Linked DNA regions of Oryzias latipes. Each later gene encodes a partner of the first gene's protein in a complex. Links are inferred from orthologs where the notes say so. Each region holds a gene or a part of one and is shown in the gene's direction. Other genes may lie near its edges.

Region 1 (3,959 bases):
ATCATCCTTCTGTAGACCACTATAAGTGAATCTTGAAACATTTTAGTGGGTTTGTTGCTGAAAAAAATACAATTGAGAGCCATATTCCTCCTACAACAGTGTTTACATACATTAATTTGTACTCCATGAATATTGTTTCTCTGTTTTAGTGATCTTTGAGACTATGGACGTTTAACTTTTTTATTTTAATATAAATTACAAAAAACAAAAATCAGTTGTTTAGTAGGGACTTGTGGGACTATAATATATATATTTTTAACGTTTAAGTACATTTTAGTTCACAAATCTTAAGTAAACACTGCTTGTTTTAAAATACTGCCCCCTAGTGGGGATAAAAGACATCGCAGGATTTTGACCAAGTAAACAATGACATGTAGTAACACACTAAAATATAAGCTCAGTTTTATCAAATAAAACATGATTTTGGTTTCTTTTTAAGTAATATAAATTAACAAAAAATGTTTATATACGAGTAAAAGGGATTTTCTTATGAACAGACACTTCATCTTCCACGTGAAGTCTGCAGCCGGGCGGTGGAGAAAGCTAGCATTAGCTTCTTCGATGTGTTATTATATATTTCACCTACACAAACTTTAACCAATATACAGTTAAGTATCTAAATAACTGATCAAACAAAACGACATTTTCTTATTTTACCATTTCCAGTTTGGGTTTCTTCTCGCCATCCCCGGCCATGCTTTTCACGTCGCTCGCACTGCAAAGTATGAGCTTTGTGTTTCTTCCCCTTTATTTTTGACTTACAGGCTGAAAATGAAAGTGTCGCCATGCTGTTATTATTCATTAATAACTGAACCCGCTTGGTTGGACATTTATTCCGACTACAACCCTAAGAATAAATGTTTTATTTAGTCTGCCATAAAGAGATATGTCGATTTGAAGTGATGACACAAATAAATTTTGTTAAACATAGACATACAAAACATGCAATTAAGAAAAGATAAACGGATCGAACTTAAATTAGGTTGGTGATGAAGTACTACCTTTCACTGCGCTAAAAAGTAACATTCCTTAACATTTAATTTGCAAATGCATTCAATTTAGCGTGTAATCGTAGCCTTTAAGGCTAAACTGAGGGGAATTCCTAAACAGTTGCTCTTACGCATGAAAACATATGACGAAGACACATCGTCATTTGTAGTTTAGGGAAGTGTAGTTCAGAATGGTAGAAGAGCAGCATTCACTGTGAAAGAAATTGCAAAAAAGAACTACATTACCCAGCGTTGGTCAGTGTGTGCTTCCGGTCCAAAGGATCCGCAAAGCAGAAGTCACTCGAAAGGGATTAGCTAGCTTGCTAGCAGCTGACACATTATAAATGTGGGAAAATAATTAGCTCGTTTGAGTGGCGCTGACACGTTAAGGTATCGTTTTGTTTTGTTTTTTTGCAACAACGTTTAACTTACAAACAAAAACTTGAACTGACACTTTGATTAACATTTTGGTCTTTTCGTTGACGCCACCACTGTTCCGTGTTTATTTCAACATTACTTACTACGCTAGCTTGCTGCCGAATCAGTCTTTGTTTTTCCCAATGATTTATACCACAATAACACGCATAGGGATGTTGGGTGTAATCGTTTTTAGTATTTTTTTGTCTACAATACACAATTTTTTTCCTTTTCTTTCTAACTCATCTTAACGGAATTCCGGTGGGAGGGAGGGAAGGCGGGTGGGGGCATTTTTGTTTTACCTGAGCTCCACCTACCAAAAAACAACAACAACAAAAAGCTTATTCCTTTCCTTGTTTATTTGACAGAAAACTAACGTAGCGGAGAACCCAGCTGTGTTACCATGGCAATCCTGTTTGCTGTGGTGGCTCGTGGAACCACGATTTTGGCCAAACATGCTTGGTGCGGGGGCAACTTCCTGGAAGTCACAGAACAAATTTTAGCCAAAATCCCCTCAGAGAATAACAAACTGACCTACAGCCACGGCAGGTACGGTCCAGTTTGCTCCTTCATCTCAATAATTGTCATTATTTTGCCCACAATCAGGGCTAGTTTCTGGGAACGTGTAACTGATGGTGTTTCTATTTTGTTTTCAGTTACCTCTTTCATTACATCTGCCATGACAGAATCATATACTTGTGCATCACTGATGATGTGAGTATCTTTGGACTTTTTATTTTGTTTTGATGTTCAGCAATAGTTGGGAAGGATGTGACACTGGCACAAAGCTTTAAATACGTGTAGTTGCATTTATCGTGATTGAATGTTTTCTGTTAAAGGACTTTGAAAGATCTCGTGCATTTACCTTTCTTGGCGAAGTCAAGAAGCGCTTCCAGACGACGTATGGCTCCAGAGCTCAAACCGCCCTTCCCTACGCCATGAACAGTGAATTCTCCTCAACGCTGGCGGCTCAGATGGTGGGTTGAGCGTGACAGATTTCCTTAGAATGCCATATGACTTTTTTTAGAAGAAGAAAAAGACTTTTGCTTTAGTCATAACCAGAAAAGCAAACTTCTTCTATTTTTTTTCCTATTTCTTTTGGTTTTAGTTTCGTTTTTCCCCCAGAGTAGTTAAAAACGTCCTTTTTCTTTAAAAAAAACCCTTTTCATGTCAATTTCAGCTTTGTATAGTCAACATATTGACAAATGGGTTTCAACTTCCTTCTCTACAATCGTGGCATGTACAAAAAGATCAGCAGATGGTCACATGACCACTCTGGCATTTTAAGTACGTTTTAAAGTCAACCTTTGTCTGCTGCATTTGAATCTGTATCATTTGAATTATATCTGAACATTTTCCTGACCTGTGCAGCATAGAGATACAATTATCTGTCTTTATTAAGAATTTTCATGGAAGTGCTGTTTTAGGGATGTTTGGTATTTGAGGACAGACAAATATCTGAACCTCTAATGTATTATTAGCAAGGGTTTTCCAGTGTTAGTGTTAAAAAAAACATTGTCCTTTATTTTCCACCAAATATCGAAGTGATATGGTCGAAGGAGTAAAAAGTTTTTTTTTGTTTTTAAAGGAAAAATGAGTGCAGATTTTCAGTGTTCCTGTGGGGTGTAGGTACCATAACCATTCGGCCTGCAATAACCGTTCGGGGTCCTTCGAAGAGTGCTGACGTCACATTATGTGATTGGATGTCTGTTGGTCCGATCACGTGCAGTTTTTAAACTGTTGCAGTGAAATAGAAATGATGTTTTAGGTTGTTTTGCTCTTTGTTCATACACCACAAGTTATATCGTCATCGCAATATCAGATAGTGATTGGTCTGGATAAATTACGATACTAACATAGAAGAAGATATTATGCGGTCCGTTGTAAACATACAGAGCTCCGACACAGAGAAAGATTATCTTCTAAACGTGCTTTTGGTAATATTATGATTAGGCCTGCACAATATATCGCAAATTTATCGTTATCGCAATATCAAGCTGTGCAATATGCATATTGCAAAAGACGGCGAAGATCGCAATAAATGGTTACCTTAAGTATGCTAAAACAATCTGATGGCAGTATTTAACGAAGCAAAAATAATCCCTTTTATGTTTTTGACCAATCGGATGGAGCCCTTTTGTGTTAGATGTTCGTCTCCTATGTAGATGTTGGTCATTTGCAATGCAGTTTTTAAACTGTTGCAGTGAAATAGAAATGATGTTTTTGGTTGTTTTCCTACACCCCAAGTTACATCGTCACCGCAATATTAAGTTTTCCTCATGACATGTAGCCCTAAATATTATTATTATTAACTGCATTGCAGCTGAACAGACTGCGTTCTGAACTCTTCTCCGGACCGCACACTATAACAAAGCAGCTTCCCAGCCTGCGAACACGAAGCTACGAGACTCCAGCTGCTCTGCTCAGAGACACGGTTCACTCGTGTGGAGCAGCAGGTTCATTCTAACAGCCACAGATCTTTTTACAAAGTGGCTTGTGGCAAAATATCTCTGTAAATATTACAGAGAATAATCTCAGACACATCTTATGAGG
Region 2 (6,951 bases), on another chromosome or scaffold:
GATTTCAAACACGCATCCATCCGTCCATGTTCTGAAGCCACTGAATCCCTCTCAGGGTGGCCGAGTTGCTGGAGCCTATCCCCAAACCGGCTGGATGAAGGTGGGGTTCACCCTGGATGGGCTGCCAGTCTGTCACAAGGCCACACACACTCAACAAATTGGAATCTGCAATTATGAAGATTGTTTTTAGACTGTTGACGGCAGCAACTCCTCTGAGTGAGAGACACCTTCACGGCCCACTTTTCTACAGAGGGCCGTGGCAGCTGGCATGTCAACCAAGGACTGACCCACTGACCCCTTTTTTGAGAGCCACCCACACAACCTTTAAGAGCTTGATTCTCTCTTTTTTTTATATAGTTTTTGTCATAACTTTTAAAGCATGATATTAGTGCAGCAGTTGATAAAATAAATGACAAATGTCCTGTGATGAATCAAGTATTATCTTGTCTTCAAATAGTCCAGCCCGTATGGCACTGGCCTGTCAAAAATGTAACGCTTGTTTTCTTGCTGGACTTGTGTTTTAGTTGTGTGACGTTTCACAAATGAAGCCAAAACTGATCAAAATACGCAATAAATAAAAATGACTTTCCATAGAATGAAACTGTTCCTTACAATATTTTACTTCTGGGTCAAAAAGTCTTTGCAAAGCTTTTGAACATTAATTATTTATTGAATATAAAACAAGAAATGACCAGTTTATAAGTTAAATGATCAAATAAAGACTGAACATGTGAGGCGGGAATAAAACAGAAGAAGTCTGTTTGATATAGTTAAAAACAATTATTCTGTGTTCTCTGAACAGAGCCGCATTCAGAAAGTTATTTGTACATTTGACAAATTCTTTCATCCGAGGTGGACCCCCCCCCCCCCCAGGTCCTCTCCTCCTCCCCTTTGCTGGTGGTGCTAAAACAAGAGAAAGCTGTAAGCTATAACCTGGTTTTCATTGAAATACTTTGATTGACATCTCAGCTCAAACGAGCAGTGACTTTACACTCTATGAGCAGAAGTGTTGTGTTGGGATCATCTCACACCCCTGAAGGTTCAGCAGCAGAAGATGAGCAGCCAAAGCAGGAGGTTGCAGGGGTCAGGGGTCACTTACGCAGCCAAATGTGTCTGTCAATAGCAGGGCGAGGCTGGAGCCCAGCCAGGACAGGGAGCTCATGAGCGCCCTTCCACATATTCCAGCTACAGAGCAAGAATGAGTCTGTAATACAACACAGTTGCATGTTGCTGTTGACGAATACAAATATGTCATTGATCTGCCAGTTTGGAAAAAGATAGTGCAAAGATATATATTCTATATGTGGATAAACACCTGCTGCCTCCTACAGACCTGCTGCTGCTTCCACGACGCTTCAGGTTCATGTCCTGCTTCCTCCTATGTCTGTGATCCAGATTTCCACTCCTCTACTGAGTGGAGACGAAGGGTCCAAAGGGGAGAGAACTGCAGGGGACCTCCACCTGAGGAAGACCTCCACCTGAAGAAGACCTCCACCTGAGGAAGGCCTCCACCTGAAGAAGACCTCCACCTGAGGAAGACCTCCTCCTGAAGAAGACCTCAACATGAGGAAGACCTCCACCTGAGGGATACCTCCTCCTGAAGAAGACCTCCACCTGAGGAAGACCTCCACCTGAGGAAAACCTCAACATGAGGAAGACCTCCACCTGAGGAAGACCTCCACCTGAGGAAAACCTCAACATGAGGAAGACCTCCACCTGAAGAAGACCTCAACATGAGGAAAACCTTAACATGAGGAAGACCTCCACCTCTGTCTCCTTTCCCCCCTCCTTCTCAAATATGTGGCCTTCAGACTCTGTCATATTTTTTGAATAAACATCATTTTGCTCCAGCGCGCTGAAACTATGTTTTAGTCCTTTATTGTTAATGTTATGACTTGTTTTTGTGGAGTTGACTCGTTTCCATCCTAAAGGACCGGGGCGCAGCAGAACCCTGAAGCCTTGTCTCCAGTCTTTGGTGGGAGTGTCCCCTGGCCCCTGCGGCTCCTGCGGCTCTTGGCTCCAGCGGGGCCGGGCCGTGCGCGTCATGTGACCGGGGAGTGGCTGCGAGTCAGGAAACGGCGCAGCTCCAAGTCTCAGCGCAGGTAAAGTCCAAACGATCCCAGAAACGAACCGAACCGTTCTAGAGCAGGTTTTGGTCTCGATCCAAAATCCTACCGCGGGTTTCGGAGCGCTTCACTTTCTGAGGACAAACGGCGAGATGTCCCGAACCGGGCTGGGGGCGGGTGGGGGGGCAGTTGTGTAGAGACCGGTAGTTTCATGAGCTAAACGTCACGTTGACGCTTAAAGTTCGGGGTTTTATAAACAGAAACTCCGGGAGAGAGCAGCCGTCACGGAAGGACACAGACCGTGGTGTTCCGAGAAAGTCCTCTGATTTCCGCATTTGCGGCTGCTGGAAAGACTGCAGCCCCACCGACCGACCGCTGCAGGCGGCAGGCTGCCCCGTAACGCACGGCGGAGGGGGTCTTGACGGGGTCCTAAAAACGCGTCATCATAGCAGACGCTGGAGCGCCGCTGGTCCCGGAAACGCGCGTGAGCAACTGCCTGACCCGCGTCAACGCCCCCCCCCCCCCCCCCCAACTGGCCCCCGATCAGAGCAGACTGGGCATGAGCCCACGTTGGTCCAGCATGGATGGGGGTCAGGGGTCAGCTGGGCTGGTGTTTGCTGCAGCAGCTCTTTGGTTCTGACCTTCAGCGTTTCAGAGTTTCAGGATTTGTTCTGAGAGGAAAAGCAACTTTCCTTCTTTGTGTTTTCACTGCCTCCATCACTCAAAGCTGTGAGGAAGTTTCCATCATCTCCATTTGTTATCAAAACGTTGGTTTGACCTCAGACTGTTGATGCTTATGTCAGACAAACGCTGATGATGGTGTAGTTTTCCCTCCTGATCCTGTTGGTACAGAGTAAGCCCACCTTCACTTCCCGTCATCCATAGCTTTAGCGGCACCACAAGAATGCTGCTCAATATTGGAGCTGTCCATGGATCTATTTGTCTGCAGGTGGGGGCATCAGAATGGAGCAGGGCAGGGACACTTTGGCCTGGCCAGAGTATTTTCTACATCACTAGTCTTCATCACAGTCTTTTTTTGTCTGCTCCTGATTGACAACAGTTTTGGGTTTGGGTTTTGCCAGCACCCGTCCTGCTAGTTAAAAACCTACTCCAATGAAAATGGTGTTTGTGGTGTTTTTACATGTTCTTGTAGCATTTTCTAATGATGGAGGACATACATATATATAGAAAATCAAGCTTAAAACTGCATTTCTGAGTATTTCTTTCTTCAAATCGTTGTGAATCAGGAGCAGAAGAAAAAATGCTGTTTGAAAAACCTCTTAGTTGTTACGTAAACTACAATCAGCAGGTCACCAGCTCCCTGCTCTGCTCTATTCTGATCTGTCAGACAAACAGATCCGTGAACGTCTTTGTCTTCCTGGTCTGACCTGGAATCTGGATCAGAACTGGACGGATGATAGATCTGATGTTGATCACCATTTTTGTTGCATCACTAATATTAGCTTGAGGTTGTGAGGGGCTGTAAGCTAGCAGGGGAGAGTTGTAAAAAGATGGATGACGGGAAGGGGGGGTGTTGTGCTTTTCGCCAACAGTCCCGCCCACACCTTAGAGGGGAATTTCTAATGAATTACTCCCAGTCCGCAGAAACTATGTCCTAGAAAACGACAACGTTTTCTGATTTAGTCTAAAAACAGCAGAATCGTAGTGAAAAGACCGCTGGGAACACTTTGACAATAGATCATAAGATGATGGTTGGGGGACTTTAAAGGTTAAACATGCAGTTTGTATGAAAGCAAGACATAAATGTGTCTTTCTGTGTGAACTCAGCTCTCATCATGGCCTACCAGGCTGGGATTCAACGGGAGCCCGCCGCTTTGGTTCAGAACATCAGCTCCAACATCCAGAGGATCACACTACTGAGTAATGCACACACACACACACACACACACACCCACACAGACCTGTGCACATGCTGAACCCCACTGGACCCCCAGCATCCTCACTCATGGATCTGTGTTCCAGCCTCAGAGCTGCAGAGGGCCGTGACCCTGCTGGGGACGGAGCAGGACAGCAGCCAGCTCAGACAGACGCTGTGAGTTCTGACCGCCTGCTTGATCACACATGCAGCCAAATGAGTTCAAACCGACAGCCGGCCTGTCTGTGGACGGTCACCATGCACACACACACATACGTTTCCCTTGTTCCTTCAGTCAGTTCATTTGTAAAGACTCCTGAATGGCAGGAAGCAGACTGTCTTTATTATTTTAGCATCTAATTCATTCATCAAAACAGAAAGATAACTTTAAAAAGATGTTCTAAACACATACATGTTCATATACACACATTGGAGATGCAGGTTGTTACTAAAGTAAGTTCTATTCTTATAACAGTGTTTTACTTGAATGGGATCATTTGTCCCTGTTTTAAAACAGTTCCATTCAGTGGGTTTAAGGTTCAAAAAGTAGTTTTCAACCTTTAGAATAGTTTTTTTTTACTCTGTACTCAGCTAGCTCCTGAAACCCGAGCATTTTCCACGTCAGGAGTAATGGATTTGTAAGATTTCTGTTTCCTCGAGTGAAACGTTTCACAGATGCTTCCCTCTGGTTCTCAGTCAGCAGAAACAGCAGCAGGGGAACCAGCTGGCCAAGGAGACCGACCAGCTGATCAAGGCCTTCACCGCCCTCCCCGTCGGTCCCGATCAGGTACGAGGCCCCTTCGTCCCACGCACCGATCACATCGAACCCGGTCAGGAGTTTGTGGGAATTGATCAGCTGTGTTTGTGTTTTCAGAGGCAGAGGAAGCTGCAGAAGGAGCGTTTGCTCAATGACTTCTCTGCTGCGTTGAACAGTTTCCAGAAGACCCAACGGCAGGCCGCCGACAAGGAGCGGGAGTTCGTGGCCCGAGTCCGAGCTGGCTCCAGGCTGTCGGTTCGTATTCGCCTTCGTCATTTCTGGGAGTGCTGTGAGCGAGAGCTTTCCGTGCACGCTCACCTCATACTCACACGTTCCACAACCAGGACCATCCGGGTTCTTTCTGAACAACACTGCCATGGTTTCCCGGTTTCAGCTGTTCTGGGCCATAATGTACCATCTGCTCAGAGTTTGGCTGAACGTTCAGACGTAGACAGGTTATTCAGATGAAACCCTCCAGCTGAGGAAATGAGAAAAGCTTCTTCCAGTGACAGTGTGTCTGGGTTTATAGGCGTGTTCAGGATGGAGTGGGTGAGTGTGAGCGCTGTGAGGAAATGTTTCAGATGGTCAGGTGAGCAGATGCACCTGTCCCAGCCTGTTCCAGACCCAGCATGAGCCTTCCGCTGGTTGGGGGGCAGATCTCTTTATGTTGATTCATTGATGGTTGTGGTTCTTGCTGGCATTCAAACATCTCCATAAAGTAAGAACAGGCATTGTCCTTGTTGTGGATACGGTCCTCACAGAAACAGGAACTTCTCAGTAGTTTCGCGGCTGGACTTAGAGGTTCAGGTCCTCCACAGCTGAAGATGTTTTAAGTTGCCTGTAAATTGTCTCGAGCAGGGAGGTCAGCCTGATGACGGCTTCGGACATCTTCCTCCAAGGTGAGCTGGCTGTCTATGAAGGTTCTTCTCCTCGCCTCTGTCGTGGCTGCACTATTGAAGCCATGTGGTGTGCTTGTATCTGCAGTTACTCCCAGGTCCAGACGGAGGCTGAAGCCATCACAGAAGAAGACCTGAGGCTGATCCAGGAGCGAGAGTCATCCATCAGGCAGCTGGAGGTCAGCAGCCCCCTGTGTTTGTGGTGAGGGTCATTCTAAAGCTCCTGCTCATCTCTCTGTGCTCTCTAGGCGGACATCACAGACATCAATGACATCTTTAAGGACCTTGGCATGATGGTGCACGAGCAGGGGGACATGATAGGTGAGCGCCAGCTACCTTCAGTTCCACATGCAGCTGCATCGAGGCACATCTCCCCCTCCGTCCAGAGGAGCGCGCTGGGCTTTGCTCATTGCAGTTTTGTTAATTGCAGCCATGTTTCCACCTCGTTGTCAGGGAGAAAGACTTTCTCCTGATCCTCCAAATGTTATAAATGCACAGCTCACAGCGGCCACACAGGTCAGATCAGCTGCTGGTGGGAAAGCATGGAGATGATAAAGTCTACCCATTTTAAAGAATCACACACACATCGATTGAGACAACAGAAAAGCTGGTTTGTTGTCCAGTCCAACTTCTGCTGAAGTCTTGCTTTACAGAAGAAAATGAACCTCTGCTTTGTTTGTTTTACAGACAGTATAGAAGCCAATGTGGAGAGTGCAGACGTGCACGTCCAGAATGCCACGCAGCAGCTGGCCCGGGCCGCAGACTACCAGGTAAAGGCGGAGCTTCTGTGCAGCGGACCGCACAGAAAAGGAAAGGAGACTCCTCACGTTCAGCGTTTTTCATGACGCTTTCTTCCTCTGTCTACAGCGGAGCTCCAGGAAGAAGATCTGCATCCTGCTGGTGGTTCTGGCCATCGCCGCTGTTGTGATAGGACTCATCATCTGGGGAGCAACCAAACAGTGACAGCCTCTTCTGCTGACTCATTGTTCTGCACTGAGCAGAAGTTCTCTTCTCTGACCTGTCCTGAGTCTTTGATTAAATTGTGTTTTTGAGAAATAATGCTCCGTGCTGACAGGACCGGACACACTGTGCTGCCAAACTCGTGCAGAAATAATGCTGACTCATGGTTTGTCTTAAGTGTAAAGGCTTTGTCAGGATGGCAGAGTTGAACTGTGAAGCAGCGGGGAAACTCTGAATCTGAAGGAGCTTCCAGCTGCAGCCGCCTGCTGTTATCAGCACAGAAATGCTGACTCAGCGGCAGCCAGTCTGCAAATAAACAGGAGTGAGGGTCATAGTTCAGTGTCACTGTAAATCCAGCACGTTTGAGCAACTTTGAATTACACTCTGAAACATGAT
Region 3 (4,931 bases), on another chromosome or scaffold:
AATTACTCAGAAAGGCAGTTATAAGCTACATGTTATACATGTCCCCCATCGTTTTCATGGCAGTGGGTGTTTGAAAGGATGGATGGATGGAAGGAGCCTCTGTAACCTGTGTGCTCTGGTCTGCAGAGGAGAGGAAGAGGCTGGTGAGGAGCTTCGATGAGCGGCAGGGAGAGGCTGAGGAGGTGGTAAGCAGATGTCCTCCTTCCTGACGGCTCACATTCATGGAGTCATTTTGCGGTTAAACACAACAGATGGCACATTCATTATTAAATATTAATTTTTAAAAAAGGCTTTGAAAAAATCAAACTGGGGTTTTTGGTGCTACAGTCAAGAACCAGCGAAGACTTGAAGTCAAAGTTCAAATATTTGGTTGCGTTTCACACACAAAAATAAGAATATTTGATCAAATTTTGTTCATCTCTTCCTGTTGGAGGGAAAACGAGCTTCTAGTTTCACATGAAGTCATTGTGCGTTTATCAGCTGATTAACCTTTAATTTCTTTTTTTCATACTGTTTTTACATTTATTTGAAATGAACAGTGTGATTATGGTTACATGGTTTGCATGCAGCTTTAAGTTTAGTTTTCTATTTTAAATTTCTTTTTGTTCTTTTCATTCATTTGAAATAAAAGAAAAAAATGTTTTATTGTTTTTTCCCCTCTTTTTTATTTTTATTTTTTACAGCAAACAATACCAAAAAAAAGAAAAGCAAAGAACAACAAAACAAACAAATACCCTGCAGATTTTACAATTAAATGTTCAAGTAGAGGTTGACTTGTCTATAGAAATAATCCATTAATGGTTGCCATGTCTCAGGTGTAATTTCTTTTTTAACTGAAGAGTTAATAATTCCATTTTTCTTGAACCTTGTCGGCGTTTCTATAGTCGTTTCAGACGCTAAAATCCATCTTTTTGATCAAATGGACTTGGATTTTCTCTCACAGTTGCAGGGCATGGAGGACGAGCTCCGTGCGGCGCCGGCGTCCTACAGAAACGCCATGAGCACCAAGCTGCGTCTGTACCGCAGAGACATCGGCAAACTGCAGAGGGACATGAAAACCTTTGCTCCCGGCTTCGGCCCCGCCCCCCTGACGTCTCACGGCGACCGCCAGGGCCTCTATTCACCCGAGAACCAGCAGAGTGTGAGTGTGGACCTTCACGCCTCACAGGTGTTCTGGAAACCTCCTGACTTCCTGTTTGTCCCTGGGGGGTGCAGACACACCTGCAGTCGCAGAGGTCGCTGCTGCTTCAGGGGACGGACTACCTGAACAACGCCACGCAGAGCATCGAGCGCAGCCAGCGCATCGCCGTGGAGACGGAGCAGATCGGTACAGACATCATCGAAGAGCTGGGGGGGCAGAGGGAGCAGCTGGACCGAACCAGAGACAGAGTGAGGCCGCCGCCTCCTCCTCCTTTCCTCCTCCTCCTTTCCTCCTCCTCCTTTCCTTCTCCTCCTTTCCTTCTCCTCCTCCTCTTTGTCCTCCTGCTCCTTTCCTCCTCCTCCTTTCCTTCTCCTCCTCCTCTTTGTCCTCCTCTTCTTCCTCCTCCTCGTGTTCCTCCTCCTCCTTTCCTCCTCCTCCTCCTTTCCTCCTTCTCCTTCTCTTCCTCTTCCTCCTCCTCTTCCTCTTCCTCCTCCTCCTCCTCCTCCTCCTCCTCCTTTCCTCCTCCTCCTTTCCTTCTCCTCCTTTCCTTCTCCTCCTCCTCTTTGTCCTCCTCCTCCTCGTGTTCCTCCTCCTCCTTTCCTCCTCCTCCTCCTTTCCTCCTCCTCCTCCTTTCCTCCTTCTCCTCCTCCTTCTCTTCTTCCTCCTCCTCGTGTTCCTCCTCCTCCTTTCCTCCTCCTCCTCCTTTCCTCCTTCTCCTTCTCTTCCTCCTCCTCTTCCTCTTCCTCTTCCTCTTCCTCCTCCTCCTCCTCCTCCTCCTCCTCCTCCTTTCCTTCTCCCGCGTCACTCGTTTCGTTTCTTCCTCTGTTCAGTTGGTGAACACGGGAGAGAACCTGAGTCGAAGTAGGAAAGTTCTGCGGGCCATGTCTCGGCGGTAAGCTCACCCACCACTCGGGTTGATTCAAAGGGTCACGTGTCAGTCAAAAGGGCCACGCCCCCTTTGTGCCCAGCATTTATGTACAGTACTTTAAAAAAACATAAAAGCACATAAACATGAACACAGTCAAGAGTTGGAGAACAGGAAGAAGAACAGGCTTTGGATCCAGACTATAAAAAGTCTCCCTCAGACAGCCCTCAGGTGTGGAAGCACACCTGAACGTCTGAGAACGAGGGCGTGTTCACTCTCAGCGGAGCGAGGACAATCGTTTTATTGAAGCAGAGTATTATGGGTAAAGCAAGAACTGCTCATAACACAAGAAGGTCACGCGTGGTAGAGTGTCCGCCCCGGGAATGTCAACAGCTGTAGAAGTTTATGGGATTTTGGCGTCTTAGAGGCCGCGGGCACTTCCTGTTTGGAACGCCAGGGAGGAGGAGTCACTTAGACCAGTTCGCATATACAATAATCAAATAAACGCTTAAATCCACCGATGATGAGGAGGGTCTTCCTCTCTGTCCTGCAGGCTCATGACAAACAAGCTGCTCCTGGCTGTCATCATTCTAATGGAGCTCGCCATCCTGGGCGCCGTGATCTACCTGAAGTTCTTCCGGAAGTGAGGGAGCGTCTGGAGAGGAGGAGCTTCTGCCCTGTAGCAATAATCCTGTTGGTGTGAGCGAGTCCGCTCTGAGACCAGGCCCTTCCTGAAGACGTCTGACTAGAGAAGCACCTCCTTTGACCTCACAGAAGCTCCTCAGAGGGACGTTTGCTCTTGCCAGGGGTTTTCTGAAGGTCACGGGGTCAAAGGTTTCGAGGTCAAGAAATTTCTCTGTTTGGCTTTGAAGGCCTGAGATGAAGCCAGAACGCTCACAGTAGTAGAAATAACCCTGAGAAGTATTTCTGACCTCTTACACATGTGGCCAAATTTTCTTTTGCTCTAAATGTAAAACGAGGACCTAATCTATACGGTATGCCATTTCCTTTACCTACACATAAATAACACCACTTCCTGTTCAGTGCTTAGTTGGCTCCATTAAAGCTAACCTGCTACTCATCTGTTTGGTGTTATATCTAAAGAACGTTGCTGTGGAAAAACCAGAATATTCCTCCTCAAAAGATGTGGAAAAATCAACTGTTGCAGTTCCTCAATTGACCACTAGAGGCTGTTCCCCAAAGGAAGATATTTCCAATTTAGATGGCCTATATCCTGCTTTTCTGAAGCTTTTCTGTGTAAACTACATCCATGTGACAATAAATGACCTTTGGCACACTAAAGAACACGTATTTTAATGAAATATTCATTCTACCTGGAAATAAGACTCGATCTTGGAGGCTCCGCCTTTCGCTCCGTGTGGGTGGCGCTCAGGTTTTTAGAAGAATACTCAGAAATGCGTGAAAGGATCAAAATAACCGCTTTGGGGTTTTCTGTGAGGAAAAACATCGTAAAACACTTAAAAGTGGATTTTACAGGATAAAGGCCCTTTAAAAAGACTAACTTTACAACCATTATTTCTGCCTTTTATCATTAAGATGCACTGCAGGAGTTAGGAAATGAATGTAGAACACGTTATTTCTCGTCACTTTTGGCCTCTTGGAGCATCTCATTGAAAAACCAACATCTTGCTGTCAAAGCCCTGAATGAGCAGATTCCATCTCTTCTCTCCGTTTTTTATGTGTTCTTTTTCCAGCAGGCCCTTGTCCTCCTGACTGACGCTGGTCATTCCTTCCCGCTGTCGCCTTCTGCATTTTCAGCTGGAAGTTTGGTTTTTTAAAAGGATCATTTCCTCCTTAATCTTTTCTCTAGGCCGCTTTAGCTGGAACAGATTCAGTTGAAGCAACATTTTTTTGTTTGCTGCGTAATCTTCTGAATTTATTGATGCTCAAAATGTTTGCTTATCATAGATATTAACTTATTTTCTCATAGTAAATGATGCTAAAGTGCTTCTAAACTGATCCTTAGCTGGATTTTAAGGAAGTATGTGGACCATTCCCATCAGTGACGATCCTCTGAGTCTCATTCTAGCAGCAAACTGAAAGGGAAAAAGAGAGACGAGTGCAAACAAACAAAAATGAAATCACATTTATGGAAGACCAAAGTAGAGGCTCTTTGTAACACGATTATCAGTCGCCATAAAACAGACAAACGAGCGTTAAAGCAGCACTATTCGTGACCAGATGATTTCTAAAGCGCCTTTTTTAGTAAATAAAACGTAACGAAAACCGTAACCACACATGGTCCAGAAGAGTGTTCTGAGAAACGGCGCTGCTATTAAAGTCCACTTTTCATCATATGAATCTTTTTGATGCCCTGCAGATCAGTCCCACACGTGACACACGCTTCGTAACACGCTAACAAATAAATAAGAATGGCCTCTTTTAGAGCAGCAGCGGCCTCAAAAGGTGCAGTGGTTTTTTAAATTATTCAGTCTCTCTTTGCAGCACAAACATCTCGTGGATTCATGGATTCACTGGACCTCCAGAACAACAGTGTAGACAGGAGAAGCGTGGAATGGTCAGGATTCGATCCAAGGTTCTGGGTTTGCTTCATAGGCAGAGCTGCTCCGTGTCGCTTTTCACGGCGGGGATCACGCTGATGGAGGCGTGAGCGCCCTCCCTCGTCTGTCCCAGCGACGACGCGATGACGTCCACGGCTAAAGAGGCGGTGGCTTCCACTGCCTCGCTGCTGGCGCCCAGGGTGGGGTTCACCTCCACCATGTCGATGGCCGACAGCAGACCTGCGCGTCCATGAGATGAAAGGTGAGGCGCCGGACAGAAAACAGAGGCACTGATGGGCGGAGCTCCAGGATCCGTACCTGTGTTGTGGATCTCCTCTGTGATGTAGATTCCTTCTCTGTAAGTGAGGCCTCCGTTCACCGGCGTTCCCGTGGCGGGGGCCAG
Region 4 (6,957 bases), on another chromosome or scaffold:
TAATTTCTATGCTAAGCATTTCCCCCCCCCCAAACAATAAAAGGGCTTTAGCAACAGAAATCCTCTTTTCAGGTTTTTATTTTAGTTTGGCTGAGTGAAAGAGTCAGACGGACACCAACAATAACACACAGTTGTTTATCCAACTGACTTTTTTCTCACATTAGAAAATCTTAGGATACTTTTTGTATCAGTTAAATGAAACATGTTCAAAGGTGTTGGTTTGTAATAATGGTGTTTCTATTTTCTCCAAATTTCTTTATATTTTTAAAATTCAGATGTTTTTCTTTGAGGGAGGCTGGAGTCAGATACCATCAAGATGGCAAAAGTTTCTGAGCATGTCTTTCAATCCAAACCATTTGTGAGGAAATCAAAATAAACTAAGTAAAGAGAGATGAAATCATAAAGTCAAGGCAGTTATGGATTTTATTTAAAGTCAAGGATCCATTATGATCTATAAACCTTGAGAAGATTCTAAAATAAGAGTCAGCAGAGGGATCTTTGTTCTAATATTTCCTTGGATTTCTTTTTTTTTTATACAAACACTGCATTTCCCAACCCATTAATTGAAGTTTTCTGATCAAAAAAGGTCAGGATGTTACAGTTGCAGTTAAAGCTGTTTGTCTGGGAAGATGATTTTGCCTGTTAATCCTAAAACTTTACAAACTTCTTTCTAAGGTGCAAGAAATCCACGAGGGGTTGCAGAACTTAAAGAGGATGGTGTCAGAGCTGGAGAACAAACAGAAGACGGTGCTGGGCGTGGCGCTGCCAGAGGAGAGTACGTCAACTTTATGAATTTGATAAATTCGTGTTGCATTTTGTAACAGAGGATCAGTGTAGTTGCACTTTAGGATTAGAACGACGTTTCTCCAGATTTTTCACAGGGATCCCACCAGAGTAAGGCGGGGCTAGTTGGGGGCGCCTTTCCAATCAGATTTTTAGGCTCAATGAGGGCACCAAATATGTTACAGATTAGTTTTCTCTATTGGATCGCAGTGAACATGTTTTTCTTTGTCGTCTTCTTCCAAAATGCAATTAAGGGAGCTCCTTTCATGAGGGTGTCTGATGCTTCTCTGCTGATCAATCAACTCCTGATTTAGTGATTTTTCTCAGTGGCAGATACTTTAGCACACAAAGGTGGTCAAAAATGAAAGGAATATAATAATAAAAAACAATTTTTTAAAAACATTTTTATGAATATCTCCTTGTACTTTGGTTTGTTTTGGGCCAAACACATGGCAGGAGCCCACAACTTGTTTGTACCGTCCAAAATGTCTCTGCTGGAGCTGTGAAAGAAATAAGAAATACAAACATAAATTCCTCCCTTCTCTCTGTCTTTAAATCCTAACGTTTACTCACAGTATCAAGACAAAAATAAATCATAAAAAAGAGGACAATTATTTTGACATTTTCAACACACCCTTCTTCTTTCTCTTCTCCTTTTTTGTTGTTTCTTTTTTTTTTGTGGTAAATGTGTTGAACTGATGCAGCTAACTTTAGTGGTATTTCGTAGATTTCCACACATCTTACAAAAAAAATGTCATCCTGAGACTCCAGTTGCATTCAATTTCTGACGTTGTGTGTTTTATTTCGACCACGGCGTGCTGCTCAGAAAACTCTCAAACTGAGGATCTGTGCTCATGAATGCTGTTTTCCTCTCGGGTTAGGTATGAAGAAAGAGCTTCAAACTCTTCGAGAAGAGATCAAAATATTAGCGAGCCAGATCCAGAGGAAGCTGAAAAGTGAGTATTTGGGAGTTCAAATCAAGAATTTTGTCTTCAAACCACTTAAGTTTCTTCTCGTCTCAACTGAGGTATTGAATCCAAAAAGTCGGACGATGATGGCAAATATATTCCCATAAATGTCCGGATGCAGCGCACTCAGGTAGCATCTTTACATATTTAAACAATAATTTTATCTATTTGACAGAATAGGCTTAAATGCAGAAATTTAGACTGTTGCATCCTCCTTGCTGCTTGTGTGAAATAAATTGGTCTGTTTTTCCCAGCATGCCATACTTTCCAAGGAGTTTGTGGAGCTAATGGGCCACTGCAACACCATCCAGGCCAAGTACAGAGATCGCAACGTGGAGAGAATACAGAGGCAGCTTAAAATAAGTGAGCTTTCTTGTCCCAGGCCGTCTGTTGGTGTTCAGGGACGTCGAAGTATTTCCTCACCTGTGCTTTTGTGAACATGTGACTCACTGTTTGATTGGTTCTGTCTCCAGCCGGCACAAACGTGACAGAAGAGGAACTGGACACGATGCTTCAAAACGGCCAAACGGATGTTTTCACTCAAAATGTGAGTAGATGTGCGAGAGGTGTCGTCATGGAAACGCTGCAGCTGTTTTCCATCACTCAGAAACATGTCATGATAGGTTTGCTCTCTTGTCACCTCTCGAATTGCTCTAACTGGACAGCAGATTTGGTAAGAAACAGACTTTAGTGTCACAGTAGCTGAGGCGTGAAGACCCATGCTTAGTGCAGCCTTCCTCAGAGGGATGTTAGCCCAAACACCCAGCTCGGTTGGGTTCTTTCCTTTACTTATTGGACCTTTTTGTGGCTCACAGATTTTAAATGATGCAAAAGCTACTAAACAAGCCCTAAATGAGATCGAGTCGCGGCACGATGAGATCCTGAAGCTGGAGCGGAGCGTCAGAGACCTGCACGACATGTTCCAGTACCTCGCCATGGAGGTGGAGGCTCAGGTATCACAAACACCAACAGACCTTCAGGCTGGTTCCATCCGATATAGGTTTCCATCATGGCGTTTTTGTGTCTTCCAGGGAGAGATGGTCAACAGAATCGAAGAGAACATCAAGCAGTCGTCCGACTACGTGGAGAGCGCAGCGAAAAACACGCAACAGGCCGTCACATATCAGAACAAAGCTCGCAAGGTAGGTGTAAATCATGGAGCATTTTGAACCCAGTGCAAAACAGGAAGCTGAATTTTTCTGACTTCCTGTTTCAAAACAAATAAATCCTCGATATTCTGACATTCACAGAGTTTCTTAATTTGTTTAAAACTTTGACATTTTGGGTTAATCAAAGGTATAAAAAAACTGAAAATACAGAGTTGGTGACAGAAATGAGTTATGACCCAAATTTTGCTTTAACTTAGACTAAAGTTTGATAACTAATATATTCATTTTTTTATCCTGGCATGGTTGAGAAGGTACACTAAATGACTTGACATATGGTCTGGCCTCACCTGTTGCACTCAATCAGTCCCTACAAAGCATCACTTCAAAGAGCCTAACCGGCACACACCTGATCGGTGCTTCATGCACAAAAGTTTCTGACTGTCCACCCCATAAAATGAGTTTTATTTGTAAAAAAGCATGTGATAGAGTCAGATTTGGTATGAATCCAATTTGGGAGAGATCCTGTTTGGGCCTCGCTAGATTTGTTGAAAACACAAATAGAAATGCTTTTGAAATTTTATTTTTTTAAAGAACTTTGCAGTTCTCCTTTTTTTTTTTTTTAAATCTCACTTTCACAATTGTGTGCAAAGGTTTCAATTTTAGAGAGCGGATCAAACGTCTCATTCTTTGCTTTTGACAAACCAAAACACTGAGTCTCCAGACTCATCCTAAAATTTAAACCCCCACTCCAATCATCTTTTGATTCGTTTAGTCTTTTAATTAGGATTATGCTGTTTTTAGCCAAATTATTTAAAAGAAAAGTCATTTTCTAGGACATGGGGTCTGCAGAGCAGCAGTAGTTTATCAATGTAGTCCCTTTTTCATTCAAAAATCAAAACATTCTAAAGTATCTTTAGTCAGACTGAAGCATAAATATGTAGTCATGGGGACTTGGGAGAGTGGCAGAGGTTTTAAAATGTTTCTATCAGTTTTTTCTGCCTTCATTTGGTTTAAAACCTGAACTAATCAGAAGTCCTCGTATTTTCAGATCAACAGTTTTTAACCCTGTTATAACAGTTCACATTCAAAAAGCCATGTTTTAAAGTTTGGTGGGATGTCATCACCAGCTAATTAGATCAGTGGTTCCGTCTCCAAACGCTTTACATTCTGCAGGTGTTTATAAAAATTGAGAATTAACTTCAAAGGCGATGGATAAAAATGTCTTTTTACATTTTCAGTTGCACAGACGGCTGCAGAAGAGCTCAGTTTCTGAAAGCAGCTGTTATGTGAATCATTTATTCCACTTTGGTAGGATGTTGTGGAGAGATTTAGCTCAATTTGTGGTCCTTCAGATACTTAATTTAATTTAAAAAATGCTATTGCAAATTTACCAGAAGTGTATAGTTCTTCTTTTAAGAGCTTCAACTATTTAAGGTTAGCTTTTATTTTTGATCCCTGATTTCATGCAAATATTTTGTGTATATCTGATTTTGTTTTTTTTTGTAATACCAACCTGTTTGATACCGTTTCTTCTTTTTACTGCAGAAAAAACTTTGGATCGCAATCTGCTGTGCCATCCTCCTCCTCATTATTGTCATCGCCGTCGTGTCCACGTTCACATAGTAAAAGCGGACGCTGACACTGCCTGCAGCATGTTGGATACATAGAATATAAATTATCTATACATTTTTTGTGTGTAAGAGGAGTCCACACAGGTGAATTTAGTCACTGAACATTTTTGTTTTCTATTCCTCACCTTCCAAGTCATTTTTCTGTAATGAAGCGTTTTTTTTTTGGGTCAGATTTTCAGTTATGTTTGCATTTTCATTTCTGTTTAAGGAAGGAGTCTCTTCCTGCAAAACTAACATACCGTTCCTGATTTCTTCTGTTTAACCCCCATTTTTCACAGAAAGACAGAAAGTGAGCTTAAAAAATGCAGTTGCAGTATTGATCTCAGGAAATCTGTTCACTTTTGTTACGCTTCCACTGTGAAACTGTAAAAATCAGTTTAACAGGTTTTTATAAACGGAAAACAGACTAATATTGTAAATAACAGATTGTGATCATACAGAGATTTTTTTTTATCTTGAGCATTTGGACTTCCAAGTGTAAATAGGGAAAAGTAAATCCCTTAGCACCAACGAGGCCAACCCCAGTTTGTATTTATTAAAACATTCTAAGCTGCTACTAAAATGAGTTGTTTCATAACTAAGCCTTAACTTTTCAGAACTGTGCCTTCTCCATGCTGTCTACTTAAGAATGTGATGCTGAGCACCAACACTGTCAAGAAGGGATGGATTTTTGATCTGTTGTAGCCTCTTAATAAAGATTCGGCACAGCTTTCTTTGCCAAACCCTTCTGAGGGTTTCTGTGACCTCCTGACACTCAGACGACCTGCTGAGAGACAAAATGACAACATCTAGCTCCAGGTTAGCTGAAGGAGACAACTTTCCCACTGTTCAGCTGTTAAAGCATTGTAATATTTGGTTTTTTAAATAAAATACTCTGCCTTTACTTTGTCATTGTCAGCTTTTTTTTCTTTATAAACATCTAAACGGTTTTAATTTATGCATGAAGTTGAGTCGTGGCATCTGGGCTTAAAAATCTACTTTCATGACATGAAAAAGTCTCCAGGAAGTGAGACTGAAGTCTTTTCCTTTAAACGTTCTGACCACACATGTACCAGAAATACAGCGACAAACCTTTAACACCAAACCGTCACTAATTTTTGGTCTTTTTATTCAACTGTAATTGTCTTAGTTTTCAAGTAAAACAATGTGGAATTACAAGGGATCAAAGGAATGCGGCAAAAGAAATCAGAAGACCATCACCAGAACTACCCATTACCCCCACCCCCCCCACCCCCCCAGGTAATAATCACCTTTGCTCAAAATTAAATCGACAATTACAGTCATCTGGAACTGCACCAGTAAATTTATTCACATTTTATTCATGTAATGTGATTTCTTTTCCTTTTATACATGACCCAAGAGCGATGAATGGCAAACTGTTTGGTGGAAAATCAGACAATTAGGATAGCACTGATGCTAGGGGGGGCTTTCAAGAGGTGTGGGGGGGGCTTGAGTTTCTTTGAATGAACTCGTCACCCCAGTGCCGTGTGCTTCACAAGGCAATTCAAGGTTGAAAACCATTTTGGCCGAAGAGGCACTTCTTTTTGCCCTTTCAAAATAAATGCATGAAGTGGATTGCAGCGATAACTTGTTGTAAAGATAGGATATTCAAAAAAATACATTTTCCAAACAGTTGAGATACACTGAGTTACCAGGAACCAATTAACTGACTTTAGTTGATGTACAAACATGTCACTACACCACAATGTGTTCAAAGGCTGAGGGCCTTTTCTTTATTTTTACTATTTTTTTTCTTCTTTTTTTTTTTTGAGTGTGCAAATGAAAAATGCAAGGCTGGATTTTCAAAGAACACAAATGACTTGATGAAGGGGCCCAAGCAAAGACGAGCTCCAGCATAGTACAGCCACACTGACAGGCCTGTTTTTTCTCTTCCTAATACCAGGAAAGAAACATTAAAATATGCATAACTTATCAACTGACTACAAAGAAACAGCTGACCAAACCTTTCACCCATCCTCAAAAAATCAACCGTCCTAAAACCTCCAGACTCTCGATTCAGCTGGTCGCTGGAACTCCAATAGAGGGAATCGAATAAATCTGTCTGAATACACAGAGTTCCAGTCTAATGATTACAGTACATGTATTAACCCGCTTGTTACCTCTTGCGCCTGGTGGTGAATTCATCCACTGCACCACCTACAACTGTTCATGGTTGCACTACACTGCTTGTCAGTCCAGCATCCCTGAGCCTCCACCCCCCCAAACATTCAAAGCTGATGAAGGCCCAAGAGGTAGGAGGTCCTGGCCCATGCAGCACTTCTTCCCATCGTTTCCTCAGAGAGTGGAGGCAAAGCAGCAACCAGAGTTATGCTCTCCTATCGTGCTTTGCGACACTCTTGCGTGCGCTCTTCTTTTTCTTGTCTTGTTTTCCTTTGCCCACTTCACGTCTTGCTGCTGCGCTGTTGACCAGAGGAGGAGCGAGTGCTTGCAGCTGGTGAGCGCGCC
Region 5 (6,982 bases), on another chromosome or scaffold:
AACTCTGAAAACACCCTTGCATCAGGGCTGCCTTTACGGCAAAGTTGTTTTCTTTTGTTGTGCGTGCACACATAGCTGACACAACCCACAAAACACACAAACACGTGACGCACACAAACACAAGCGCAGGTAGGTGGATTACAGCACACAGGAGGATTACTGAACATGCACACACACAGGACTGTTACTCTTTAACATTCAGGACCAGAGTGTGTTTGCACAAAAGAAGACTAACTCTGACCTTTCTGCACACTTTTTAAAGGTGAGCGCTATAAATATGATGTTCTGAACACACCAAAAGCAGGAAGAGTCGCTGTGTCAAAGCCTGCTGCCAAAGGGATTAAACCTGGGTGTGGGACAGATGCCCAGTAGTTTGTGTTACCCACCTGGGTTTGCCTCACACAACATCATCATTTGAATTTGAGTAATTTGCTCTTCTTGGCACTATGCATGCTGCTGCGCATCAAAGCTTGTGTCTCCCACTGGAAAAATATAAAATTAGGTCTTAAGGTATGCCAGCTCAGGCCCCTGCTGTTCTGGTTGTACATCACTGACCTCCCACATCATCCTTACATTGTGACGTATGCCGATGATGCTGTGCAGTTAACACAGGGCAGAGATGATTAGACCAAAGCTACAAACCTCACAGTTCCTCTTAAGACAAACTGCAAAGCTAGTTAAAAACAGACCTGTCTAACGCTTAGTCCGAAAAACACAAGTAATCTGGCCGATGAGGGCGCAGGCGTAACCTGCCTCCACCCTCACACCCCCTACTACCCCCTTTTTACCTGCCCTCACTGGCCTAGGAGATGCTTTGAGCCCTTCACATTCCTCTGCCAGACTGGTCAACATGTGACAAATTCATGAGAAAAACATTTTTTTTCCAAACAGAAGGGTTTACTGTAGTCTCCATAAGAACCATTGTAGTTTTTGTTTGTCTGAGAGTGAAGAACAGATCTACATCACTTTATAAAAATCTGCAATGGTAAACTTTTTCCTTGGCAACTGAGGTTTTTTTGTTAACCACGCCAATTCCTAATATGTTCATATCACATATCAGTTTGTTCAGCTTGAGCCAACATTCATGTATCACTTTTATTTTTTTAATTTTCCAGGAAAAAAAACATGCTACGAATGAAGGAATGCCACTTTTGCTTGTTTAAGTATCTCAGATTTTTGCTCTATTTCAACCTCACATTCAGACATTATCGATCACCCGGACACCAACTCCCTGGCAAGGCAGCAGGGGCAGACGTGACCCCCCAGACACCCACACAGAGAAGCAGATCGAAGGGGTCTGCCCCCCTAGACAAACGGCACCAGCCACCCAGTCCAGAGGTAGCACAAGGTCCAGCGCAAGGTCACACCCACCTGAGAGTTCCCACAGCCGCAGATCAGGCGTCCACCAACACCCAGGCGTCTGCATCCCCCAAGAAACACTCATGTCACAGCCTAGCCAACTACCTCCCTGCCCTGTGGGGAGTCCAGCACAGATCCAGGCAGGAAGAGGGCTCCAGCGAGAGACAAGGATCCCTGCGAAAAATGGTTAGCATGGACCGACCAGGCTCTCTGGTGTTGATGATGATGAGGAGTTACATAGCAAGAATGCACGGACCAGAACCAGAACCAGGGACACAAACACCACCAGGCTCAGATGATGCTAGAAATCTCAAGGATCCCCCTCCCTATATGTGGAGAGAGGATTGCCGGGTCAATGAAGCCAATACCCAAAGAACACAACCAGCACGGCTGAGCCGCTGACACATGATTTCTGTGAGGACTCTCATTCATACAGGAGAGTTCCAGAGCAGAACAGTTTCCAGAAAACAAGGGTCATCCAGACCCAAGACATTTTGTCAATACTGTAAACACAACAACACAAAACACTTCAATTAGGAAAAAGCACAAGCTTGATTAAAAAGGTGTGAACGAGGTATTTCTGCTCATTGTTTTTCAAAAGTGTGATTTGTAAACAAAAATGTTATTCAAGAACTGAAGAATGCAGTCAATTTAAAACGAAACATAGCAAATTAAATTAAAAAAAGAACAGATTTAATCAATAGAAACAAGGGCCTTAGCTTAAGCGTAAACAGTTCAAGAGTGATGTGTTTAGAAATCTTTTTTTTAATCAAATACTTCTTTTTTAAAATAACTATTCCTTCCTTGTGACCTAGATTTGACTAAAATTCACTTTAGAGTCTATAGTTTTAATTTGTTACCTTCTCGCAATAGAAAATAAAATAGTTATTTACCAGAGCAAACTCTTCGCAAAAAGTAGTGTATTTAAGTGTACTACAAGTATACTTAGTCTACACTAAAAGGTAGGCAGTATACTTTAAACTTTTATATCCATGCATTGTAGACTTAAAATGTTCACATTTCTTCAGAAGGACTCAGTTAGTATACTTCTTACACTACATGTACATGGTCTACAGTACACTTGCAATACTCATACTCAAGTAACAAAAACTTCAAGTAATTTTTACTAAAGGAACTTTGAATTGTTCTATAGAGCGTAAGAAAGAAACAAAAAATGAATCTTAAGAAATTATATAAATTGTGTTTTTCATCCCGATGAAAGCAGAGAACATTAATAAATTATGCGGTTCTGGATTAAACTTTCATTTCAACCTGTTCCGTTTCCTTCAGGATCAGAACTGATAACGTGTCGTAGTCACGTGTTCCGGGCAGCTGACTGTGACGTCACAAAGCAAGATGGCGAGCTGGGACAGAGGTAGGAAACCGAACACGTATTCACTTTTTAATATTTGTTCATCTTCGGTGTTTTAATCAGGATAAGACGAGTCCCGTAGATCGGAGGGAGTATTTAAAGCGAAATAAAGTCGGATTAGATTACGACCGGAAATGTGGAGCGTCTGACTCTGAGCTAACAGTAGTTTAGTTAGCTGTTGACAAGTCAGTGTAGCTATCATGAAGTGAACTAACTTTGAGCTGTCAACAAATTCGTTTATTTACATAAAACCACCTTAAGTTCTGAGGGATTTTTTTTCAAATAAATGTTCAAGTTTCACTCTATTTTTTCATCTTTTGGTTCCTATTTAGATAAACAAATTTCCTTTTTTTCGGAATCCGTGTAATTAGTAATACTATGGTCGGAAATGACATTACAATCTCTCATGTCCGTCGGTAACTTTGGTTTAACCTGAAATTCTGTGGTTCTGGTTCTCATTCGAGTTTCTGCTCAGTATTTAAAGACCCACTCCCATGAAAATTGTGTTTTTAACTTGTTCTTGTGCCATTGTTTCTCATTATGGAGAAAAGTAAGTAAGCTTAAAATTGCATTTCTGAGTTTCTTTATTCAAACTATTGTTAATCTGGAACAGACGGAAAATTGCAGTTTGAAAAAACTTGTAGTTGTGACGTAGGAGCTACAATCGGCGAGCCACAAGCTTCCTGCTCCGCTCCATTCTGATTCATCCCCTGTCAGTCAAATGGATCCATCTTCTGTCTTTGTTTTCCTTCTCTGAGCTGGACTCTGGATCTAAGCTGTAGGTGGTGTAGGTACCATAACCGCTACCACACTAGTCCCTGGAATCCACAGATGCATATGGGCCAGTTTGGAGAGCAGAGGGAACACATGCTGTTGAGATTTCCACCACAGCAGTGGATCTTCAGTGAGAGGCAGAGAAGAGGCGTCTTGATATTGTTTGACCTCTTTTTCTGCGAGGCTGCTGCTGTAGAGGCATAAGAGGTCTTCTTGAAGGTTTGACCCAGAAGATCTACTCGTGCAGACTTTCTTTTCTTGGTGGTGCTGGTGTCGCTGCTGGAATGTGGCGGCTCCTCATCCTCCAAATCCTCCTGTAGGTCATCACAAGACACTGGATCCCCTTCCTTTAAAGCTGCTTTTGACTTCAGTTTTGCAGACGTGTCTTGCAGAAACAAAAGAGATTTAAATCTAGGGTCTAGGGCTGAGGACATGCGTAGGAGATCTTTTTCCACCTCAGACTGATATCTCTTTGAAAGGTCTTGATCTCTCGAACCAGAGGAGAATCTTCTTCAGTGCTAGTTGAGTTGTACAGCAGTTTGGCATGAAGAGGAGCAATCATTGAAATGGTTGGATTCTTTTCCACAAGCATTGGTTTAAGTGCTTTAACCATCTCTTCAGCGCTTGAAATGTCATCCTCTGTCAATGCACAGTCTGTCACATTCTTTCTAACCTTGAGAAAAGAAAAAGAAATTCAAATTTTAGTGCTCTCAAGAAATGTATATTTTATCATTTATATTTAACCAATTATGCTTTCTAACTATAATCTTAATGTGTATTAGCAATATATATACATGCCAAGTAAATTTTTTAAGTGTAATGTAATTTACCGTATCCTCAGTCGAAAGGCCCCCGAACGGTTATTGCAGGCGAACGGTTACGGTACCTACACCAGATAGCTCTGATATTGCTCACCATTTTTGTTGCACTGCTAATATTAGTTTGGGGTTCTGAGCGGCTGTACGCTAGCAGTAGAGAATGTAATCACAGGGATCATAGGAAATGAGGACGGGCTTTCTCTGCACCAACAGTTCTGCCCACAACTCAGAGGTGAAGTTCTGATGAACTCCTACCGCTCTGCAGGAACTATGTCCTAGAAAACAACACAGTTATTTAGATTTGGGCTAAAAACATCATCATCATCATCATAAATAAAAAGACCATTTCTGGCTGCTGGTACCATTACAGAGAGTAAAAAGGTCCTCGGAAGTGACTCCTCCCTGAAAGTACACAGGCTCCTCGGCAGTACTGCAGGTACAGTCAGTACAGTCAGTACAGCCTTTCTGCAGGCACACTTCAGTCCAGTTTTTATGAAGGTGTTAGTTATATTCCCCCCTAAATATTCCTGGCTTGGGTGTTCAGTGATGATGGAGCAGCAGGCCGATATCTCATGAGTGAACTATCACCTTTTCTTTGGTTTCCTCCAGGTCATGGTACTTCCTACAGTCTCATCAGTAAATCTGTGATCAAAGATCTTAACATAGCATTCAAAAGTGCAGCTAGAATGAAAGCAAAACTTGAGGTCTGTTTTAAACCCATTCACGTGTAGCTTCTTTTAAATTGGGCTTTATTGACAAAAGTTTTTAATGTGTATGTCTGATTAAATGTAAAACCTTTGGCTAAAACAAATCACTTTTAATTCATCTTGTATGTTTTCAGATCATGACTCAGTGGATGACATGCTGGATGCTAAAAACAAACGTTTGGCTGAGAACCTGGCCACCAAAGTCTCCAGACTGAAATCTGTGAGTCAAACTAGAACATTTCTGCAGATTCCTGAAGATGATGTACTTTTATTTCTCTATTTGTAGCTTGAATGGAAGCAGAGAGACGAATACGTTTATACATTTATGCTTCTGTCAGACCTTACAGGATTTCGCAATGTTGCCATTGCACCAATTCACGGCAGTTTAACCAAATCCCACAACATTTTCTCGTGTTGAATTTCATCCAATTGCCCCAACTTTTTTGCGGCATTCTCATTTTGGAAAAAGTTGGACAGGTCACGCTTCTCAAACAATCAGTTTTAGAGGCTTAATCGTATATTTAATCAGTCAGACGTGTCCATTCTTTGTTCCGCCATGGCTGATAACGTCTCTGTCACATCTGTAGCTTCCTGCAGGTTCTGTTGTCAGGCTATGTCAAAAGTGCATAACTTAATGAAGCTTATGAATGTGTGAGTGTGGAACATCTAAATGGCAGGTGCAGACTTTATGCTTTAATGACTACAGTCAATGTTTCAAAGACTACCACTAGGTTATAGGGCGCAGTTTCAGTTATGGGGGATTTTTCCTGTATTTGACACACAAAAGGCGCTCCGGGGGTTAGGGCGTGGGCACGTTAAAACACCGGTACAACATGCTTGCTAGTGTGTGTTTTAAAAAAAAGGCAGCGGGAGCAAAACTGAGTTGGTTGTGATTTATTTTTTGTTTTTTCAGTCATCAATCAGCATCCAAAAATCCATCAAAGTCCTTTTCTTCTGTCCCGGGTTAAATAAAAAAAATGAATACAACCGCTGCATAGGGCCCCACGTTATTGTTCACCTGGGGCCTCCAAACTGCTAAGTCTGCCACATATCTGTCATCTTATGACTGCAGTTATATTTTCTCCTGCATGTCTGACAGCTGGCGTATGACATCGACAGAGAGGTTGATGATCAGAACGACTACCTGGACGGCATGGTAAGTAATCGGGAAATCCTCTTTTTAAATCTCATCCATCTGTACAAAGATGTTAGGTGGAGTTTTTTTTTTAGCTGTTTTTATCTGAAAACTGTTTTTTTCTTAAAATGATCGAAGCTGTTTCAAAACAGACAATTGTTGCTATACATCCCAGTTTTTATTTAGAATTTGCAGTTTACTTGGTTTATTACAAGTGTTGTGTTCTAAAAATAACCCGGGATAGGTCACATCTGCAAAGTAGGAATACAGATGTTTTAAGGCTGTAAAACTCCTCACTACACACTTTCTACACTCTTTTCAGAGAGACATGAACATTTTCACACTTTTCTCTTTTGTTTAAACTTTTAAAGTTCAAACCTTCCGAGAAAAATAATCCAGGATTATAGAAGGAAAACAAAGATCTGATTGTGATCAAAGATTTATCTTGATTTGGCAAACATAATACATTCTGAACAGGAGACACGCTACAAATGAGATACATTGACTAGATCTACAGCCAATCAGGACACAGAACACTGAAATAAAAAAAACAAAATAAAAACCATGTGAAATTGCATTAAGAAAATCAACGAGACGGTGAAACTGCGATATAGCAAGGGAAGACTGCGAGGAACAATGTTGAAGGCTGGAATGTCGTCACATTATCCAACATGGAGACACTTTCTGATACCAAAATGTTGGATTAAGACCCAATCACAGTTTTGGGCGTAAAATGCTTAGAAATAGAGCTAAATGTTTTTCTTGTTATTTTTATGAGCTACTCCTCTGTGACTCTAAGGGGCGATGAAATCAAATC

The links.
Region 2: vamp7 (region 1) and stx7 share a complex: the UniProt entries of both Homo sapiens proteins name them as parts of the SNARE complex. The link is inferred for Oryzias latipes from reciprocal best matches to the Homo sapiens genes VAMP7 and STX7.
Region 3: vamp7 (region 1) and vti1b share a complex: the UniProt entries of both Homo sapiens proteins name them as parts of the SNARE complex. The link is inferred for Oryzias latipes from reciprocal best matches to the Homo sapiens genes VAMP7 and VTI1B.
Region 4: vamp7 (region 1) and syntaxin-4 share a complex: the UniProt entries of both Homo sapiens proteins name them as parts of the SNARE complex. The link is inferred for Oryzias latipes from reciprocal best matches to the Homo sapiens genes VAMP7 and STX4.
Region 5: vamp7 (region 1) and bet1l share a complex: the UniProt entries of both Homo sapiens proteins name them as parts of the SNARE complex. The link is inferred for Oryzias latipes from reciprocal best matches to the Homo sapiens genes VAMP7 and BET1L.

The regions. Positions count from the first base shown.
Region 1 is NC_019868.2:26,863,141-26,867,099, reverse strand, and holds the start of vamp7 (vesicle-associated membrane protein 7), read left to right. Parts: upstream 1-1,159; 5' UTR 1,160-1,379; intron 1,380-1,774; 5' UTR 1,775-1,809; coding exon 1,810-1,955; intron 1,956-2,062; coding exon 2,063-2,120; intron 2,121-2,245; coding exon 2,246-2,383; intron 2,384-3,959. Other genes in the region: DNA-directed RNA polymerases I and III subunit RPAC2, read right to left, coding at 658-696. UniProt on the Homo sapiens protein: Involved in the targeting and/or fusion of transport vesicles to their target membrane during transport of proteins from the early endosome to the lysosome. Required for heterotypic fusion of late endosomes with lysosomes and homotypic lysosomal fusion.
Region 2 is NC_019882.2:21,986,018-21,992,968, forward strand, and holds the start of stx7 (syntaxin-7), read left to right. Parts: upstream 1-2,635; 5' UTR 2,636-2,650; coding exon 2,651-2,795; intron 2,796-3,854; coding exon 3,855-3,947; intron 3,948-4,049; coding exon 4,050-4,119; intron 4,120-4,638; coding exon 4,639-4,729; intron 4,730-4,816; coding exon 4,817-4,954; intron 4,955-5,557; coding exon 5,558-5,598; intron 5,599-5,680; coding exon 5,681-5,774; intron 5,775-5,843; coding exon 5,844-5,916; intron 5,917-6,282; coding exon 6,283-6,365; intron 6,366-6,462; coding exon 6,463-6,558; 3' UTR 6,559-6,951. UniProt on the Homo sapiens protein: May be involved in protein trafficking from the plasma membrane to the early endosome (EE) as well as in homotypic fusion of endocytic organelles. Mediates the endocytic trafficking from early endosomes to late endosomes and lysosomes.
Region 3 is NC_019880.2:1,878,354-1,883,284, forward strand, and holds the end of vti1b (vesicle transport through interaction with t-SNAREs homolog 1B), read left to right. Parts: intron 1-63; exon of another isoform or gene 64-86; coding exon of another isoform or gene 87-126; coding exon 127-185; intron 186-943; coding exon 944-1,141; intron 1,142-1,215; coding exon 1,216-1,389; intron 1,390-1,971; coding exon 1,972-2,033; intron 2,034-2,559; coding exon 2,560-2,653; 3' UTR 2,654-3,308; downstream 3,309-4,931. Other genes in the region: arg2 (arginase-2, mitochondrial), read right to left, coding at 4,578-4,768, 4,847-4,931. UniProt on the Homo sapiens protein: V-SNARE that mediates vesicle transport pathways through interactions with t-SNAREs on the target membrane. These interactions are proposed to mediate aspects of the specificity of vesicle trafficking and to promote fusion of the lipid bilayers.
Region 4 is NC_019877.2:19,250,395-19,257,351, reverse strand, and holds the end of syntaxin-4, read left to right. Parts: intron 1-675; coding exon 676-775; intron 776-1,664; coding exon 1,665-1,739; intron 1,740-1,810; coding exon 1,811-1,881; intron 1,882-2,005; coding exon 2,006-2,114; intron 2,115-2,224; coding exon 2,225-2,298; intron 2,299-2,566; coding exon 2,567-2,704; intron 2,705-2,782; coding exon 2,783-2,893; intron 2,894-4,405; coding exon 4,406-4,483; 3' UTR 4,484-5,374; downstream 5,375-6,957. Other genes in the region: helicase SRCAP, read right to left, coding at 6,894-6,957. UniProt on the Homo sapiens protein: Plasma membrane t-SNARE that mediates docking of transport vesicles. Necessary for the translocation of SLC2A4 from intracellular vesicles to the plasma membrane.
Region 5 is NC_019864.2:3,546,127-3,553,108, forward strand, and holds the start of bet1l (BET1-like protein), read left to right. Parts: upstream 1-2,644; 5' UTR 2,645-2,715; coding exon 2,716-2,734; intron 2,735-5,164; coding exon 5,165-5,250; intron 5,251-6,129; coding exon 6,130-6,186; intron 6,187-6,982. UniProt on the Homo sapiens protein: Vesicle SNARE required for targeting and fusion of retrograde transport vesicles with the Golgi complex. Required for the integrity of the Golgi complex.